3 linked regions of the Mus musculus genome follow. The protein of the gene in region 3 purifies or fractionates together with the protein of the main gene of each other region. This does not show direct contact. Links are inferred from orthologs where the notes say so. Each region holds a gene or a part of one and is shown on either strand. Other genes may lie near its edges.

Region 1 (7,781 bases), on a different chromosome or scaffold from region 3:
CTCTGTGGGTACTACATGAGCATGATATGCATACATATGTACAGGGAAAACCCTTATACATATAAAGAAATCAAGAGGTTGGGGGCTGGAGGGATGGCTCAGAGGTTAAGAGCAGTGACTGCTCTTCCAGAGGTCCTGAGTTCAACTCCCAGCAACCACATGGTGGCTCACAACCATTTGTAATGTATACAATTCCCTCTTCTGGTACGTCTAAAGGCAGCTACACTGTACTCATATACATAAAATGAATAAATATATCTAAAAATTAAAATAACAAATAAAAAAGAGGTCATGATAGATTACAGCAAAATCAACCACTTCTCCAACGCTAGGGACCAGGGGCAAAAATCAACCTCTCAGCAGAAAGCAGGCTCAGTTCAGGAGCTTCCCTGCACCACAGACAGACATAAACACAGGCACACACAGACACACACACATCTGGCAAGGCAGTGGCCTCTGCTCTGGAAGCAGGCTGAGTTCCCAAAGCAGCTGCCTTCCCCTCCCCCTCCACAGAGTCTCACAGGGGGACAGTCTGGCTTTCCAGGCTCTGCTTCTATTTTAAAACCCTCTGGAAGCTGGGCCACCAGCAGCAGCACAGCCTTCTATAAGGCTGGGGAGGCTGTGGTTGACTCAAGGCAACCTGCCTTCTCTCCCTCACCCACCTGTGGAGAGAAGGCCATGCAGGCAGCCAGCAGCACTCCAGGGTCTAGGGTCCAGCCAGGTACACCAGGGCTCCAGGATAGCCCAGGCACCACAAGGCATAGGGGGTTGACACAGTCAGCGCTTTTTTTAAGTGCTCAGCCTTGGGAATCAAGGACATATGGGTCTATATCCTACTCCCTTTCTAAGTAAAAGACCCCAAAGTCAGTCTCTCTGACCCAATTCCCCTTGGTATACATCCCTGCGGCTGGTACATGCAGAAGCCATGAAACAAACACAAGTAGAATTCTATTAAGATGACAGATGACAGGTCAACTTATCATCTGAGATGAGCAGACAAATAAATAATAAGTTTGGTTTCTTTGGTTGGTTGGTTCTTCGTTTTTCAAGACAGGGTTTCTCTGTGTAGCCCTGGCTGTCCTGAAACTCTGTAGACCAGGCTGGTCTCAAACTCACAGAGATCTGTCTGCCTCTGTGCCCTCCCCTTGCCCCACCCCGCCAAGTACCAGGATTAAAGGTGTGCACCACCAGCCAGTTTGGTTTGGCTTTGAAACAGGATCTAATGTAGCCCACAGTGAGTCTCAAACTCACTATGTCACGGAGGATGACCTTGAACTTGATCCTCCTGCCTCCACCTCTGAGTGTGTGCCCCACCTTACTGAGTTTCTGCAGTGTTGAAGGAAGAATCCAGGGCTTTCTGCATGCTGGGCTAGCATTCTACTAAGTCCCACACAAGCCAGTCCAATAGACAGTTTCCATTGCTATATTTATGGCTAGGGAATCTAACCAAGCTCTGGTCTTGTATATCTACTATTATAATAATGGTTTCTGAGCATCTTGTCAGAAGCTCACCCTGAACCACGGGGTCCAGAGTCCTTCCCACCCATAGAGAGGTATTGTTTAGCCGGATACTGTCTGGCCAGGTCCCGGAAGGACACCTCCTATCTCACCCCAGGGCAAATGATTTCTATGAGCACCGTCCACTACAGATGGCCCACAGCAGCTACCTCTCTCCTTTCCCAACCAGTTGGTAACTTCTGCTGTGCAGAGGCACTCACACCTATGGGTTCCTCAGAACACAGCAGCAGTGCAGTGTGGGGATACTAGCGGAGGACTGGTGCCCAAGCACCAAGTATACACAGCAGGGCCGCAGAACACCAGAATGGCCAGCACTGACAGTCACAGTTCTACTGCAGACCCAGGTGATCCCAAGGCCTGAGTGGAGACAGGAAGACCAGAAGTTGACCTCTGACCTCCACATGTGCTAGCCACCTCCAAACAATTAATTTTTTTAAAAACAGAAGCCAAAATCAATCAATCAATCAATCAATCAATCCACCACATTATAACAGAGGAACTAAGACACGAGAAAGCTATTTCACCTGAGCTAGACTCTGTGGCTCTTGTCAGATCAGAACTGAGAGCCCAGGCTGCCCTCTGGAGCTTTTTCTAGCTCAGCCCTAGGTAAAGTGCTCACATGCTGTGACTTAACTGCGGGATGGAGACCCACACCCAGGTCTAGCTAAGCATGCCTCTGCCATCCTTTCAGGTACCGAAGGAACCTGGGGAAAGCGCAAAGCTACAACGACAGTACAACCTTTCCGGAATCCTAGGGGCTCAGGTCCAGCATGAGGACCGCATGGCCCCAGACAGCCCCTGTCCAAAGCCTCATTCTAGAAACCAGAAATAAAGCGAATCAGCTGTGAGCTACTACAAGTGGGGACTGGCACCTTACTCGAGCTGTCATACCCCCACACCTGTCAGAAAGGGAAGAAGCTACAGGCCCCACAGCTTTGGCCAGAATCCCATCTACCCATATCACTCTCTAGCTTTAAGCCCAGAAACACCAGTTGGACAAGTTCCCCCAGGACTTGGGAAGTTGTAGAATGCTAAAGGAGCTGTTTCTCATCTCTCATGACTACTGCTGTAGGTGAGTATGTACGATTACAGCTCTTATGACATCTATGACTCGGCTAGGACAGGATAGCTTCTAGAAGTGAGTGAGCTGTCTAGGTCATCTAATGGCTGTTTTAAGATTCCACGATTGAATGTGCACCTACCATGCCTGGGTAGTTAAGAGTGGTATGAAAGAAAAAAAAATGGAGAGAGAGCTCAGGGGTTACAAGTGCTTACTGCTGTGGCTGGAGAGATGGCTCAATGGTTAAGAGCACTGACTGCTCTTCTGAAGGTCCTGAATTCAAATCCCAGCAACCACATGGTGGCTCATAGCCATCCATAATGAGATCTGACGCCCTCTTCTGGAGTGTCTGAAGACAGCTACAGTGTACTTACATAAAATAATAAATAAATCTTAAAAAAAAAAAAAAAAAAAAAAAGAGTGCTTACTGCTGACAGCCAGGGCTATACAGAGAAGCCCTGTCTCAAAAAAACAAAACAAAACAAAAACAAAACAAACAAAAAAGTGCTTACTGCTTTTGCAGAAGACCCAGGTTCGATTCCCAGACCCACATGAGGCATCTCACACCTGCATGTATGTACATAAACTCACATAGGCACAAGCATGCACACATTAAATAGACATTTTTTAAAAATGAATTTACCCCACAGACCTTTCTTAACCACCTAATGTGTGCCAAGTGGTCCCACCCAAGTCCCTGAAGACAAGCCTGAGTTTGGCCCTTCAGTTTTGTCAGTCCCGAGAAAAGCAGGCAGGCCCTCCGCAGTTATGCCTGGCTTGCTAGTAAACAAGCCGGAGTTAAGCCCCTCACCCATATCTCTGGTCAAGGAAAGAGAAGTTTTGGACAGCACACACCTGAGCTAAGCCCACACTCTTCCTGCATTCTGGGTCTGCAGTCAGATTTAGTGCTCCAGCCTGACAGCTGTCAATCTGCAAACTGACAGTGTCTCGTGAATTATTCTCCAATGACTCAATACCTGGTGCTGCACAAATGCTTGCTTCTGACATTAGTAATAATGGCATTAAAATAATACGCCTGTATATTCATGGAGTCCCTTCCTGTACACCATGTGGAATAAAAAATAAAATAAAATAAAAGTCTGTGGAGGATGAGTTCAACCCTCCCCAAAAGCTCCTAGGTCTCCTAGGCAAATGTCAAGGTTTCTAAGGTGTCCTTGTGCATGCCCCAAGGCTTCGTGTTAATCGGATCATTTTATTCTTTCCCCCAAACTCAGTGAAGTGTATATAATTGCTCCTATTTCGCAGATGAGAAGATTGAAGTTTTAAATCTTCCTACCAGTGTGACCTTGGACAAACCGTGTAGAGTTGCGGGCCTCCAATCTGATGTCAGGCCCTGAAAACAGTTTCCAGAATGCACAGTTGCATTTGGCGACACAGAACACGGACTCCGTCCCCGAGGCCAAGGAGGCCAAGCGTATGGCTCCCTATGGGGTCTCGCTCTCAGTCCAGGCCCAGGTCCCTGTTCCTGCGGCCTAAGTCCACTCAGGGCAGCCCGTTCCGCCCGGGAAGACACTGGCATGCGCGGGAGGGACCCGGCGCCACCTACTCCGGGCGTGGGCCGGCTAGGGCGTGTAGGGGCTGGGGGATCCAGGGCATGGCCGTGCCTGGAGTTCGTCCTCTCGGCGGAGGAAGCTGGGTCTGCACAGGCCCTTGGAGCTGGTGGGGAAGGGCTTGGGCCGTGGGAGGGTCTCTACCAGATCCACACCGACGGGATCTAGAGCCAGAGGGCGCCGCCGGGAAGGTCACCTAGACCCGCGGCCCGCCGGGCCTCCACGCGGCCGCCCTTGCCCTTCCGCTCCTCGCATGTTCGAACCGCCCCTGGCTTCCAAATGCAGGTGCTCTGAACGCTCGAGCTAGAATCTGGGAGATCCGCTCTGCGCCCGCCCTCCAGGCCTCCTCTACAAGCCCGCTGCCCCTCCAGGCCCGCAATGATCGTCCCTGGTTCACCCTTCCCGGGGCCAAGCGCTTAGGCCCAGCGCCCTCGCCCGAACCTCCCTCGATCGCCTCCCTGGAGACTTCCCAGGAGCGCGACCCGAGGCCCTGGGGACTCAGGCATAGCCCAGGCCCTCTCCGCTGCGCCTACCTCGGAGGCGGTGACGGCGGGAGCAGCGGCAGCTACGGCGGGGGTTGCGGCGAGGAGGCTGGGAGCGCAGCGAACGGGCCGAGGGCGGAGCGGCGCAGATCGCGGCGGCGCGGACACGCCCCAGCTCTGCGCGCCGGACCCCGAAGCTCCGCCCTCGGCTCCACCCCGGACAGCGCCCAGACCAGTCTCGGGGTCTTCTTCCCACTCGCGAGCCGCGCTCTCGCCCTCTGCGGCTCTGTGATCATGTGTGGCCGCGCGTAAAGGCCTGCGTGCACTCTGGCACGGGGCGATAGGGAGGCGTGGGTCTGACGTGCGTGAGGTGTGTGCGTGCGCGGGGACACGCGGGTCACTGTTGCAGCCTCCAGGCTGCTGGAAGCATTTGGGAAGAGGGGGAGGGGAGCTTCCGGCACACAGAGCGGTGGCCTAGGGACCTCAGCGGATAGTGTCGCCGGAGTCGCCGAGGCTGCAAGTCACTCGGAGGCCCAGTGGGGACACTGGGCTCTGGAAGTGGCGCTGTATAGGTCAGAGCGGCTACTGTCCCCTCTGCTCCAACCTTGATTTCCGGAGCCTGCGACACGCCCGCGTGCGTCAGCGAGTCAGTTGCAAATTAAACTCTCCCGAGAGCCGGCTCCGCACTGTAAAGTTGCGTGCAATCTTCCCTAGTGTCAAAGCCTCTTTCCGCCATTTCCCAAGCATTTAAGAAATTAAAAAAGACAAAGTGGGTTTGTGAGACTGCGGAGTCTCGCTACGTGAGGTCACGCGGGTTCTGGATGTCTGCTTTCCTGCAGTGTAGAGAGGGCGGACACTTTTTCCCAGCCTGGTCTCAGCACGTGGCCTCCTGCCCTGTTGAGCGTGCCACACCAAGACTAACCAAATCAGGTTTGGAGAGTTTGTGAAATCACATGTGAGTGAAGACTTCACACCCTTTGCCTTCTACTAACAGACGTCCGAGGAGAATTCAGGCATTTGGGGTCCAGTAGAGGAGACGCCAGGTGGTTGCTCACAACCTGCTGTAGCTGAACAAGACAGCTGGGCATCCGCAGCCACTCTAGATTGAAAATGCTGTTCCGTGGGCTAAAGGAAGGGAACCAAGAGAGAGAGAGGCCGAGGAGAGGGAATGTAAGGGGGCCTAAGCCCATATCTAGTTAAGACTATGAGGGAAAGCCCTTCGAAATAGAATGTGGGCAAACAGATAGCTCCGTGGTACAGGGCTTGCTTTGCATTAGAAAGAACCTGTTCCCAAGTCTGCAGCTCTATCTACCCGGCAACAAACACCCAGCCCATTCCCGGAGTTAAAGCCAGGCAGGGAAAGCTGCTGAGTCACAGGGGCGTACAGGGAGGCAGAGTCGGAAGGACAAGACCTGGGGACACAAGATTTGTCTCCAAGAATCTTAACACTTGACCCAGAGCCCTGATGCCCAGGGCTGTGTGTCGTGGGTGGGCAGAAAGTCTGGCTTCTCGGAACTTCGCCCTGAGAGTCTTTCTTGGTTTTTTTTTTTGTTTTGTTTTATTTTTTGGGTTTTTTTTTTGTTTTTGTTTTTTGTTTGTTTGTTTGTTTGTTTTTTCCCGAGACAGGGTTTCTCTGTATAGCCTTGGCTGTCCTGGAACTAACACTGTAGACCAGGCCGGCCTCGAACTCAGAAATCCGCCTGCCTCTGCCTCCCAAGTGCTGGGATTAAAGGCGGTGTGCGCCACCTCCGTTCAGCGCCCTGGGAGTCTTGGTTTTAATTTAAAATGAATGGAGATGCAGAGGACTGGTAAGGCACTTACCTAAAACTCAGCGAGTGGCTTGTGTCACTTTTGCTGGGGAGACAGACAGCTATTTGCGGTAGAGAAGGCACAGATGACAGATTAAAGAATTCCACCCAAAGTCTACGTCGGCAAACCAGGGAAAGTGTTTAATTTATTTACAAGGTAACTCAAGGTAACTAAAAAGATCACCCCAAAGGCCCCCAACTAACAAACCTGCATGCATCCCTGGACCAATGCATGACTTATCAGCAGCTCAAGAGTTCCCTCTCCAGCAACTGTTGACTAGAGGGACCTCGTGAGTCCGATAGCTGGACTTCCCAAGCCATGTATGTTTTGGGTTTTGTTTGTTTGTTTGTTTGTTTGTTTTTAACTTTCTAGTGCTGAGGACTGAACCTGACTTTTATGAATCTCTTTCCTTCCAGAAGGGAAGGTTTTAAATCCAAAGAATTAGCCACACAAGAAAGGCAAAGAAAATCAGCCAGAATAGGGAGGAGACCTGGGAGCCCCTGGGATTGAAATCCAAGTGCACCAGAAATGTTATTCATTGATCTTTCTTCCCAGTCACAGCCTGCAGGGAGGGGAAAAGCAAGTCACCTTTTTTTTTTTTTTTTTAAACTGGACTCTGCCCAGCCTCCCCTCTACGGAGTCTGCCAAAGCTGATTGGCCTGAGACAGAAAACCTGATCCAAGCCTGGCCAGTCGGGTTCTTACTTGCAGATTCAAATTAAGAAATCCAGAAGCTTTAGGGAAACAGCAGGATGTCCTGAGTCTGCCAACTCCTCCGGCAGGCTTGCATCTCTGTTGGCCCAGAAAAGCAAGCAGAACACTGTGCAGTTGCAAGACGCTTTGAGCTCATTTCCTCATGGATCCCCCTCCTGAGTTTGGGGTCCCCAGAGCTACTTCAGTTCCATGTGAGTCCAGAGATGTCTTGTTGACTTGTGGGGATGGGCCAGTCCTGACCATAGTCCTGTTGGGGGTAAGTGACCCTATGTCACTTTTGTCCTGACCATAGGTCTGTTGGGATAAGTGACCCTATTTCACTTTTGTCTCATGCACAGGCTTCGTTGGAGTTGGAGCTGACAAGTGACAGAGTCCTCCTGCTCTCTTTCCCCTGACTCTGGGGAGGAATCACTGAGACCCTGGAGTTCTCTAGCTGTGAAAATAGACTAAAACTGACGCTAGGGTTAAGATTAGCTGTGCAGCTAGTGTGCACCTGCATCTGGCCTCTCCTGCTGTTTGCCAGCTACCTGAGTAATGGGTTGCTTGCTTGCTTGCTTTCCTTCTTTCTTTCTTTCTTTCTTTCTTTCTTTCTTTCTTCCTTTCTTTCTTTCCTTCTTTCTTTCTTTCT
Region 2 (7,781 bases), on a different chromosome or scaffold from region 3:
ATCTCCAGGACAAAACGAAACAAAGAAAACAACTTTTAATTGTCTGAACACCTTCTCTTTCCATGTTGTTCTAAGTGTTTTTCACATGTATTATTTTTCCCAATGTTCTACACCAGAGCCAGTCATGTTCCCATGGATGGAGGAGGGCCAGTTACTCAGATTCTGTTACACAAGAGGTCCTGTGGGTTGTCTCCAAGGTTTTAGAGTCTTTGAGAATAATAGACATCCACACTAAGTAGTGATTAGCCTCTTACCTATTCCCTATTTGCTCTGGCTGACCTGCCTGCATAACCTGTTTTACTTCCTTATTTACAAAATTTTCATCACCTTAAAGACAAACAGAGTCAGGTGCCTCAATTGTGATCTGATGCCTTAATTTTGTTTTGGATTTTACTGTGTTAAAACAAAACGGGAATCTCTTTTCAGAAAAGGAACACCTTCCCCAACAGTAGAACTGCTTAAAAGATACTTAGGTGCAGCCTTACAAGATATGGCTTTTCTACCTATTTATCCAGGATACCTAAGTCACCACCCAAAACACATCATTACGTAATAGAATTTCACTTTACACGCATTAAAGGAAGGTACACGGGGCCGCACCAAAGAGTAGAGACCTATGCCCTTCCATTTCTCAGAAACACAGGTGGACATCTTAAATGTCTCAGGGAGACAGTGGTCCTCAGACTCTGAATTCTTCATCTGTGAAAGGTAAGCAGCCACAAAAAGCAAAACTTCATTCGTCAAGACCCCAAAAAGGCTAAGTGAGTCAGAAGCTAACAGCCTCTGCAAGGCGGGATGCTTTCAATGAATATTCAAGACTTGCTTTAAAAATCGCAGAATCTCAGCATCACTAGGAAAACATTGTGTGGGGAGCACAGACAACTTGCCTTCAACGCGGCCTAGGAGATGTTACGGGCACCCACTGCCCAGAACGGAAAGGCAACAGGAGTCTTACCCGATGCTCTCTTCCTCCCTTCCACAGCTCTGCTTAAACCTGGCTCAACCACAGAACAGGGAAATGCAAACTTGCTCCTTGGCCCTTAACACCTGTTTTCATTCCAAATAATGGTCTCTCGGATTTCTATCATCACTAACCTGTCTAATGCCATGATCTTATATAACAAGACTCAATTTCATAAATGTAAACTCAAAACCTAGGGGGCAGGACTAGGGGGAAAAAAAAGGTTCAAAATATCTAGGCAATGAGGCTTATAATCCTGTGGGCAGACGCCAGCTCGGGACCCAAGCCCTGCTGCTGTTTAGATGGCCTCCCTGTGGGATTCCCACCTCTGGACCTCAGATCATTATTTCCGGAAGACAGAGTTCACATTGCACAAGTGACCTTCAAACTGTGTTCGTGACTAGAAAGATAATTTTTCTACTATTCTCCTATTTCACGATCACCTTCCGGAGTTACATCTCACCTAAAGCACACCCCAAACACCCAACTACACAGGACACCGCAGAGGGGGAACCACAGCTCAAGTCTGGCCGCGGCTGCAGTTTCCAAATGAGCAGGGAAACTCATCCTGGTTTGTGTTAAAAAAAAAAACACTCTTTTTTTTTTTTCCTAGTTGTGGTTTCTGGAGAGATTCTCATGGTCACCCAGGCTGGCCTCTCTAATTCTTGGGAACTCTCCTGCCTGAGATTACAGGCATGCATGCACACTACACTAGTCAATGCTTTAAATCACTGTCAGCTGCAATCAGACACTGCTTGTCTCTCCTTTACCTGTGAGGAATCTAAGGCACAGAGAAGGCAGGCAGCAGAGCAGGAGCAGCCAACCACAGCACGTGCTCCCTCAACAGAAAAGCAGAGCCACGAGGATGGGTGAATCCAGAGCCTGTGGAGACACAGCTCATGGTGACAGAAAATTCCAGAAAGGGAAGAAGGATGCTCCTCCCACTTTTTTCATTTGTAAATTAGCAAAACATATTCTTCAGCTCACGGGCCTCGTGAAATTTCTGGAACCTTGAGATGTAGAAGGAAAGGAAGTCAGGAAAAGTAGGACACTCTGACCCTTGTAAAAAATATTTCTGTTTTAAGCCAAAGCATGAGACAAACCATGTAGACCTAACAACATAGTTGAAACTGAAGGAATCTAGAAAGAAGAACAACTGTGGCAGTATGTTTGAGGTGTGTGTGGAAGTGGTAACCCAAACAGGAACAAGCAGTCATGTTCAGTGCCTGCCGGTGCCCAGAGATCCTAAAGGCAATGCCACACTAGGGAAGGAAAGCCAATGACCAAGACTGTGTGAAACAAGCAGTAGTACATAAGTACATAAGTAGTACAGCAAGCTACGAAATGTCAAGTGTCAACACCAGGCAGAGTCTGAATATACCCAGAAGCCTGATGATCCCAGAATTGCTCCATCCAACATGGTGAGACATTCACACACAGTGAGAGCAGGGGTAAGAAAAGCAGGAAGGGGTCTTGGTCCCTCTAACCCTTAAGGTCAACAGGACCCAACCATTCTCTGTGCTTCTCAAAGACTCTGACCTCTCCATCAACGTCCTAGAAGACTGGTTCCCAGGGAGCCTCTCCATTTTGCTCAAGAAGTGTTCTTCCCAAGTTATCCTCAGAGACAGGGTACCAAAAACTTAGCCAGAGCAAAGGAACTTTCTTTCCAGCTTTTTTTTCCTACAGAGCAGCTTCTTGTTAGCCTTTCAGCTGAGCTCAATAAGTCTGTGGGGTCCTCTCCCCACTCCTTCCCTGCCTCATGAGAATAAATTAAGAGAATCAATGACTGAGTATAATTTAATAATCTCATCCCTGTTACCTACTTCAAAGATCTACTTTTTAAAGTCATACACAATTATTTTGGGGGCAGCAATTCTCTATCAGGAGCAACTGTATGTCCTGTGGGACATTTGGCGGTATCTGGAGACAGTGCTGGTTGTCACTGTTAGGACATCCACTGAATACAGGACAGGGAGGCAACCTAAAAAGTCAACAGTCCCGAGGTCTAGGGACCTGTCTGAAAGGACAACGAGACAAGTTAAAACAGCTGCATCGTATAAATTATCTCAACGTTTTGTCTTTTTCTTTTTACAAGTGCTGCACTTTATTATATACACAAAGTCAAGGGACGAATTTTATCATAAAATTTAAGAATTACATATATCATGGTGGTGGGGCGGGGGGGGGGGGGGGGGACAATTCCACGTGAAGTCATTCACCTGGCCCTTGGCTTAACAATACAGAACAGAACAAGCCGGGCATGGTGGCGCACACCTTTAATCCCAGCACTTGGGAGGCAGAGGCAGGCGGATTTCTGAGGCCAGCCTGGTCTACAAAGTGAGTTCCAGGACAGCCAGGGCTATACAGAGAAACCCTGTCTCGAAAAAACAAAAACAAAACAAACAAACAAACAAAATGCAAAACAATACAGGACTGTTAGTTTGAGAAGCTAGGATGCAAACCTGCTCTGGGCTCAGCAGAACAGAGGCAGATCTGAGCCCACACTGCAAGCCACTCCTTACTAAACTGGAGCCCTATTTTACCGTTAACAGTCAAGTATTTTAGCATGAAACTAAAACTCCAAACTTTCAGTTTTTTCTGTATTTAACATTCTCTGCAAAGCAGATGTCCCTTGAGGTAAATTATAATCTAACACTGACCCTGGACTTCTGCCCAGCCCACCACCAAACAAACAAACATGCAAACCACCCTCATCAATAAGCACTCTTATTTACTGGAAAGAAGTGGGGTGCAGAGTCCTTGTGAGTGTGTGTGACCCAAAGTAACAGTGCATCTGGAAGGAATAAAGAGAAAGACTACAAACAAAACGCCCCTTGGGCTGGGCAGCAAGAACTACAATCTTGAGATCAGCATTGCCAGAGGAAATGTTTTCCTCTAAATTAAGCCATTTTTACAACTTCCGAAGTAGCCTAAAGATTTAGTTCCAGTTTTCTGACTGTACCATGCTGCCTACCTCCCTTCCTTAGTATGAGCTCAAGGCACACACTAGGGAGTCTTTGGGTCACTCACCTGGTGCTGGGGCTCTGAGACAAGTCACTAATCCATTAAGGTCGACATCCTTCAGGCTCTGCTTAGTGAACACTAGTAAATTTATGGGTCTGGGCATCAAAGTAGCCCTGGGAGTGCCCCCCCCCACACACACACACACACTCCTGCGACCCTAAGGAACCCTCTGGGGGAAATAGCTTTTAAGACCAGAGGTCTCCAAACCGCTGATACTAAAAGTCCATTCGAAAATGGAGGAGCTCTACATGGAAAGAGCCTTATACGAAAGCAAAAGAAAGGAAGAAAGAAAGAAAGAAAGAAAGGAAAAAAAAAAGGTTCTTTCAAAATCCTTACGCGGTTATGCACTCTCCCAGCAAGTGGGTAGCATTTATTCAAGACACTCCTGAGCATCTCGCAGGGATCCAGCTTTGGCCTGCAAATACTCCGCCCATCGAAGCCTACAAAAACAGCCCACACCGCAAAGATGCTTCCCTACCTCCCATGGGCATGCCCAGATGTGCCAACCCAAGGCACTCAGGAGCACAGATACAGGTGTGCACAAGCAGGTGAGCATGCTCAGAAGCGAACACAAGTGTGCAGACGCGGAAGGCCCTCTTCTTAAATGTTCTCAAACACTTGAGCACCCGATAACGCATTTTCGGACATCGGTCCCAGGTCACACCGGGGGTATCCACAGCCGGGACCACCCTTTCCTGTGTCCCATTGGAGCGTGCGTGCCCATCTCACCTCTTCGAGAAACTTGGTCAGATCGTACACCTTATGATGCAGGATCACCCAGGTGCTCTTGCTGTCTTTGTGCTTCTGAATCTCTTCCAGGGTGTAGTACTTCACATCCTTGTCTGACTGCCCGGCCATCTCGGAACAGTGAGTCTACCGGGCCCTGCAACACAGCCGTGCAGGGTTGTGCTATGATCAGGTCTGAGCGCCTCCGCCCGGGACATTCCCAGCTCCACCGGGCCCTGTGCCCAGAACCAGGAGAGGGCGGTGCCTCAAACTGGGCACAGACCACAAGGCCTCTTGGGATTGGCCAGTGTGGTGCTCCCGCCCTCAGCCGACGCCCTCCAATAGTCCAATCATTCCCCACCACAGCCCGGCGCGTGGTGTTGATTAGCTACAAGAGGTGCCTTTCACTTTTACCCCAAGCCAGCCCTTTGGGTGGGGAGGCGGTTTTCTGAGTCTGCGCATGTAGCAGCCAGTGGGGGTGGGTGGGTGGGTGGGAGGGAGCTGGGGAAGTGTGATCAGAGGTCTCAGCGCCCAAGTAAAGAGGAAGCTTTAGGGCCAGGTCAAACTCCATCTCAACCTTAGTTTCCTTCCCTTACACCCTACTTCACATTAACTCTTGCGTATTTCCTAAACCAAGCGGCCCTACATCCTGATAATCGCTTGGAATAAATTGCAGTGAGCCAAAGTGACCCTCTGCGTGGTTTCCCTTCAGAACGGACCATTTGAAAGAACCTCTTATGCAAGTGTCACGGCTTAAGATCTGGAAATAAATGTGTGGCCCCAAATAATGCGCCATGCCGTTTGCTTCACTGGAATCTGCAGGGGATTGGGAGTGGCTCATCCAACAGGCAAACAAAGGAAATTGTTACATTAAAATTAGAAGCATCTAATAATTTCTTTAACCTGAAATAACTTCCGTGCCACAAGGCCCTGACATGGCAAAGACTTTCTCTTATCCTCCACTGTAGTGTAAATTTAAATCCTAAATAAGGACCAACACTGGGCGCAGCGCAGCACTGAGTCCCTCCCCAGGCTGGCACTCCCCTACCCTTTTGTCTGGAAGTCAATACTATATATAAATTACAGATATCTAAAGCAGGGGTGGGGGAAAACAGAAGACAACTTATTTACTTATTTTAAAAGCCCTTCGTAGTTTGTTTGTTTGTTTGTTTTGTTTTTTGGTCTTTTCAACAACGGCAATTAACTCCAAAAACATAGCATTAGTGATGGGCACATCAGTGATTCTCCCAGGAAATCAGGAAGGTCCTAAACTCTGCAGGTGCTTGGAAATGCCTAAGTTCCCTTTCCCTTAGCTGCTCATTGGCAAGTAAGCATTGCTCAAAGCATCCAAACTATTTTTACTGTTTTTTTTCTTTTTTTTCTTTTTAACCACAAGGAACCATTTCTGGTTGTAATTGTTACTCAGAAATATTTCTAAGGTAAATTCTTTGTATTAAGATACTAATCAGTTTGGTTCACATACAACATATGAATATTTTATTTTACATCAACCAACTAAAATATAATGTAGGAACAATATCCAAGAAGTTCAATGGGGCTTTGTGGGGGTTGGATGGAGACAGAGTTTCTCTGTGTAGCCAGGCTGCCCTAGAACTCACTGTGTAGACCAGGCTGGCCTTGAACTCCAGAGATCTGCTTCCCTTTAATTTTAAAGCATAGTTTCATGGAAAGTTACAAATGTGGAACAGATGTGTCATCTTTCTCTGCATCCCTCACCCAGTTCCCCCAATGACCACATATTAATGTAACTACGAAGTACCAAAACAAGGCAGCTCATACCTGCAAAAACAGCACCCTAGAGACAAAGACAGGCAGATGGCAAGTTAGAAGCCAGCCTGGGTCTACCTAGTAAGCTCCATGTCTACCTTAGTTATATAGCAAGACCTTGTTATGAAGAGAGGGAACAAAAGAAATCCACACCAATACAGCAAGGTTCCCTCGAGTTTTAAGACTGGTGTATGTGGTGTATGGGGTGCCTCCGTATACCCCAGCATAACTGCTCTGTCACGAGCTCTAGCTGGCACTGTCTTCCTGAACTACACTCACTCCCTCCTGTATTATCCTTAACACCTGGTGATAAGTAATCTGTCTCATCCCTGTACTATTTTGTCACCATATTATATAAATGGAATCATACAATAACACAATTGAGGTCAGCTTTCTCACTTGTTCTATTGTCCTTGAAATCCATCCCGGATGTGAACTGTATCAATAGTGATTTCGCTGTCTTCACTGAGGAGCGGCATAACCGTCCTGGTGGGAGCCAAGAGATTGCTGAGGCGTTGTCCCCCCAGATTGGAATTTCCATAGACTCTCATGCTGGGAGAAGGAAAGGGCTCAAGTCTGGTGTCAGCCAGAAAAGGAACTTGTCTCCCAGGAAGAGGACTTCACACAGTTGTGACAAGTTGTCAAAGCCCATTGAAGGGAGACAGGAGCTGAGATGGGCCAGTGACTAGGCTTAGCCAGAACTGCTTAGTCATGCTTAACTTTTACCTCCTGTCAGACGGAAAAAAAAAAAATGAGCTGCGGCAGGGGGGAGGAGGTGGCTAGCACTCTTTATTTGCCCTTCCTAATGTTCTTTGCCATTCAGTAGTACTGTTTGTTGTTGGTCTGTTGGGGAATATTGACTGAGCCTGGCTTGTTTGGGCTGCCAGGGCCCAGGCTTTGACCACAGCAGCTCCAATCATCTTTCACTGTGTGGTTGTGACATGTCACAGCAGCTTATGTTCAAACCCACTGCTTGAGGAACGTTTTTGGAGATTTCCAGCTTTTGATTAACTATGGAAAAGTTGTTATGAGCAAATGTATACGAGTTTTGTGTGAATGTAACATTTTACCTTTCCATGCCAGGGACAGTGGCTGTTGGGAAATACAAGTATCTGAATAATCAGTTTGTTAGAAACTGCTAAGTCATCTTCCATGCCACATGACTACAGCAATGCCTGAGAGACCCAGCTTCTCAAAATGCTCGCCAGCCTTGTCATTATTTTGTATTGTCCTGACTTCCATTTAATAGGTGTTCAAAGCAGAAGCCTTAATCGGAACCAGC
Region 3 (4,079 bases):
ACCAGGCTGGCCTCGAACTCAGAAATCCGCCTGCCTCTGCCTCCCGAGTGCTGGGATTAAAGGCGTGCGCCACCACGCCCGGCTTTTAAGTTGGTCTTAATCAGTCTCTCCTTCCTGCTTTTTTTTCCTTTCAATTTTTCTGTGTGTTTGTACCTGTGCATATGCATGAGTGTGTGGGCTTGAAGTGGTTATCTTCTCTAATCATTCTCTACTTTCTTTTTTTCCCAGTGGTCTCACTGAACCTAGAACTTACTGATTCAGCTAGACTGGCTAGGATCCTCCTTATCTTTGCCTCTACCACACTCTATTACAGAAGTGTGTTCCTATGTCCAGATTTTACATCAATGATAGAGATCAAACTCAGATTTTGAATTTATACTTGTTCAAGCAACCATTTTACTTACAGAGCCATTTCCGTAATCCTTTTCCTTTTCATACCAGGTCTCATTTAGCTCAAGCTAACCTCAAATTTGCTATGTAGCCAAGATAGGTCTTGAACTCCTAACCCTGCCTTCACCTCCTAAGTGGTGGAACAAAGTTAGTTGTCCTAGAGAGTATCCAAGACTCCAGTTCCACCAGCGTTTTGGTCACTGTATTTCCTGTGAACTAAATGTCAATGTGGGTTTTAGCAAGAATATTCCTTAGGTATTATTAACTATGGCAATTTTATAAATCCTAATTTAAATACGAATAGTGTTGATATACTACAAATGATTGAAACAATATCTAAATAACGTTTAGCAAATCCTGGTTTTTTGGGTTGTTTTTTGTTTTTCGAGACAGGGTTTCTCTGTGTAGCTCTGGCTGTCCTGGAACTCACTCTGTAGACCAGGCTGGCCTCAAACTCAGAAATCCACTACCTCTGCGTCCCAAGTGCTGGGACTAAAGGCGTACGCCACCACGCCCAGCCTGTTTTTTATTAAAAGGGACTATAGCTTCCATCCTTCATAGGCTGAGTAATGCTCATGAGCCTACTAAGCAATGCCAGTAGGAGTTAGCTAGGAGGTCAAAAGTCAGCAAATCGGCAACAATGTAAGCCAATGGTGCAAGTATTCAAGTTTCCACACAATTATCCCCTACAGCCCTGAGGCCCAAGGGTTGGCAAGAGAATATTACTCAAAAAAGTTGAAGTCAAATCTTCTTTTGCAAAAACCAGAAGACAGTGTGCACAGGAAAGCAAATGACGAGGTGACAAAGCCAGACAATGTTCAAGATTGGTGATAAGAAAAAAAAAATCATACTCCTGACACCCTTACTCAAGACAGGTTTTACTTGTTTCCATATAGCCTCAATTTCAGGGTCCACCAATTTTGCACACAGAAACTACAAGGTTCAGGGTTTGATAGCACCCTCATCATATGCTTGCTTTGTTGTTCCACTAGCCATACCTTTTTGGAGAAATGAAGGGAATGCAGAGAAGCAACACAGCAAAGACCTCTGCGTAGAGGAAGGTGGCAACTGTAGTCCACTGCAAACTCATCCTGTGACTTAAAGGGTTCCAACAGAGGGATGGGAGCTTGTTTCCTGGCAGGATACAGAAGAAACAGGAGGAACCATGAGAGCTGGAAAGTCACTGACAGGGACTGCTCAGGGACCCTGGAGAGGCTGGGGCTGCTATTCTTCACAACAGACCACAGGATTCTGCTTCAGAGCTTTTGAAACCCTGGTTGAAACAGGGTTTAACCCAACAGCAGACACTTGACCAATGATTCTAGCCAGCCAACAAACTTCCCTTGCCTGGGACAGTTACTTGTGCCCCTCCAGCAAGTATGTTACTATGACTAGGTACTTTTGTTCATGATTCCTTTCCCCGGGGCCGTCCAAGAGACTCTTAAGCCTGTTTAACTAAGAAAATGTTTCTCATAAGAATAGGAGAACCTTCTCAGCACCCATCAGGCTCCCTTGTAAGGCTAGACCTGTTTAAGAAAATGTTTCTCAAAAGAACAGTACGTAAACAGAAGGACCTCAGCACCCATTAGGCTTCCTTCCAAGAGTAGAAGCCTCTGCTGCCAGGAGCTATACATGTCTTCCAGTCGCTTCTACAGTGGGACTGGGACTGCAGTGTTCATACATGTATTTTCTGCAAACGCCACCACCTAAGCCTCTGCACAAGAAAGCAGGCCCATTTCCTCCAGAGCTTATGAGGGGCTGATAACCCTAGTAGCCTCCAGCCTCCTTCTAAAGCTGCTTTTGAAAACTAGATAGGCCTTCCGAATGCTCGCACGAATGCACAGGGTGTAGGCCTCCATTTACTCTCAAAAGGCCCACAAGAGCGACTCCTAGAGGGCGGGAATCCAGGCCAAAAGCAAATACAGGTCTCCACAGAGCACGTCCAGGCCTTACCCAGAGAAAGTTCCAGAACCAGAAAGTCTCTCCCGAAGCCAAAAAAGGGACCTCCCTGCATCCCTAGCAAGCCACAACGCCCAAGTCCACAGCGCCAGGTGGCTTTCGAGGAGCTGGGCCTACCTGGGCAGCTCTTCTGGGGGGGGGTGGGGAGGACTGGCCCCTGTCCTCGCGTCCCCTAGAGTCCCGCTCCACCTACCTCCACAACATCCCTATGCCTGATCCTGCCCTAAACTCCGAAGTCGGCCCGGATCCCTACACTTCCCAGAACCCACAGTATTTCTGGGATGCTCGCCTTCCTCCCTCATGAAGGGACTGGGGGGGAACCTCGTTGGTCCGAAAGTCAGCCATGCATGCGGACCCAGCTTACCGAGCTTCAGCCTACTCGCACGCCCCACCGCAACTACCAAACTCTCACCAATGCTCAGGCCCGCCCCCTAGCCCGCGGGCGGAAACCGGAAACGCGCGTCAGGCCCCGCCTACAAGTCCTCTAGAGGCCCCTAACGGCTCCGCCCATTGTCGTTTCCCGCCCCGCCCTTAGGCGCGGCCTGTTGCCAAGGTCTAGAAAGGAAGTAGAGGCTGACGGTTGAAGGCCCCCTGCCGCGCCTCTGACACTTCGGACACGCAGGGGTGGAGCTTGGAGGCGCCTTGGCGGGAGGGCTGGGGCCGCTTCTGTAGTGTACGCGGACTTGCTTCGTTTCTGTTGTCGGAGAGGGGGAGGGGTCCAACGGTAGGGCGAGAACGGGGTGGGGCACCCCTAACTCGGACTCCGCCTCTTGCCTCAACTCCGCCTCCTCTTCCCCATCACCACCCCTGGGGAGGGGTAGGTGGGTGGGGATTCTGGGCCTTGGCGTAGACGCTGTCGTTACTGCCGGGCTGCTCAGCGGACAAACACGCCTGGTGCCCCGGGGAGGGGCGTCACGGGGGGTGGGGGGGGAGGAGCAGTAAGAGGAGGGAGGTGGAAGGAAAGACACAGCCTCTCTCCTTAAGACCTCTCGAGGCTCTGACCTCAGGGGCTAAGGGGACAGTCTGTAGAGGGAAGCCAGTTCCTCCACCCGGGCTGCCTGAAGAGGCCACGACCCTGGAGGATTCTAACCCAACCGATCCAGGGGCCCCAGCACCACCGCGAGGGCCTAAAGCAACAGTCTCAGGGATCACTTCAAGGTTTCCAGTTGCCTAGACAACGAGCCCTGGGTCAGAGCAACAACCCTTCCAGGATCTGTCTGCAACTGTAGCCTCAGGCAGCAGTTCCAGCCCTCAGCCTGCTCACCAGTCCAGGTGACATGCCGGTGCTCTCCACTCCCCGGCCCTCACGGGTGACCACGCTGAAGCGCACAGCTGTGGTCCTGGCCCTCACAGCCTATGGAGTCCACAAAATCTACCCTCTAGTACGGCAGTGTCTGACTCCTGCCAGAGGTCCTCAGGTGCCAGCTGGGGAGCCCACTCAAGAGGCCTCTGGAGCCACCGCAACCAAGGCTGGCATGAACCGGGTATTCCTGCAGCGGCTCTTGGCGCTCCTGAGGCTGCTGTTCCCCCGAGTCTTGTGCCGGGAAACAGGGCTGCTGGCCCTGCATTCTGCTGCCCTGGTAAGCCGAACTTTCCTGTCTGTGTATGTTGCCCGCCTGGACGGCAGACTGGCCCGCTGCATTGTACGTAAGGACCCGCGGGCCTTTAGCTGGCAACTGCTGCAGTGGCTCCTCATCGCCCTTCCTGCCACTTTCATCAACAGTGCCATC

What was found. The genes of interacting proteins can lie anywhere in the genome.
Region 1: the proteins of Bcap31 (region 3) and Vdac1 purify together in Homo sapiens (affinity purification with western blotting; 3 studies listed by BioGRID, with this or other methods). This does not show direct contact. The link is inferred for Mus musculus from reciprocal best matches to the Homo sapiens genes BCAP31 and VDAC1.
Region 2: the proteins of Bcap31 (region 3) and Cyb5a purify together in Homo sapiens (co-immunoprecipitation; 4 studies listed by BioGRID and IntAct, with this or other methods). This does not show direct contact. The link is inferred for Mus musculus from reciprocal best matches to the Homo sapiens genes BCAP31 and CYB5A.

What each region holds. Positions count from the first base shown.
Region 1 is NC_000077.6:52,358,054-52,365,834, reverse strand, and holds the start of Vdac1 (voltage-dependent anion-selective channel protein 1), read right to left. Parts: upstream 4,985-7,781; 5' UTR 4,683-4,984; intron 4,239-4,682; exon of another isoform or gene 4,119-4,238; coding exon of another isoform or gene 3,876-4,118; intron 1-3,875. UniProt on the Homo sapiens protein: Non-selective voltage-gated ion channel that mediates the transport of anions and cations through the mitochondrion outer membrane and plasma membrane.
Region 2 is NC_000084.6:84,848,541-84,856,321, reverse strand, and holds the start of Cyb5a (cytochrome b5), read right to left. Parts: upstream 4,985-7,781; 5' UTR 4,844-4,984; coding exon 4,715-4,843; intron 2,745-4,714; exon of another isoform or gene 1-2,744.
Region 3 is NC_000086.7:73,713,405-73,717,483, forward strand, and holds the start of Bcap31 (B-cell receptor-associated protein 31), read right to left. Parts: upstream 2,801-4,079; 5' UTR 2,714-2,800; intron 1,525-2,713; 5' UTR 1,481-1,524; coding exon 1,389-1,480; intron 1-1,388. Other genes in the region: Abcd1 (ATP-binding cassette sub-family D member 1), read left to right, coding at 3,627-4,079. UniProt on the Homo sapiens protein: Functions as a chaperone protein. Is one of the most abundant endoplasmic reticulum (ER) proteins.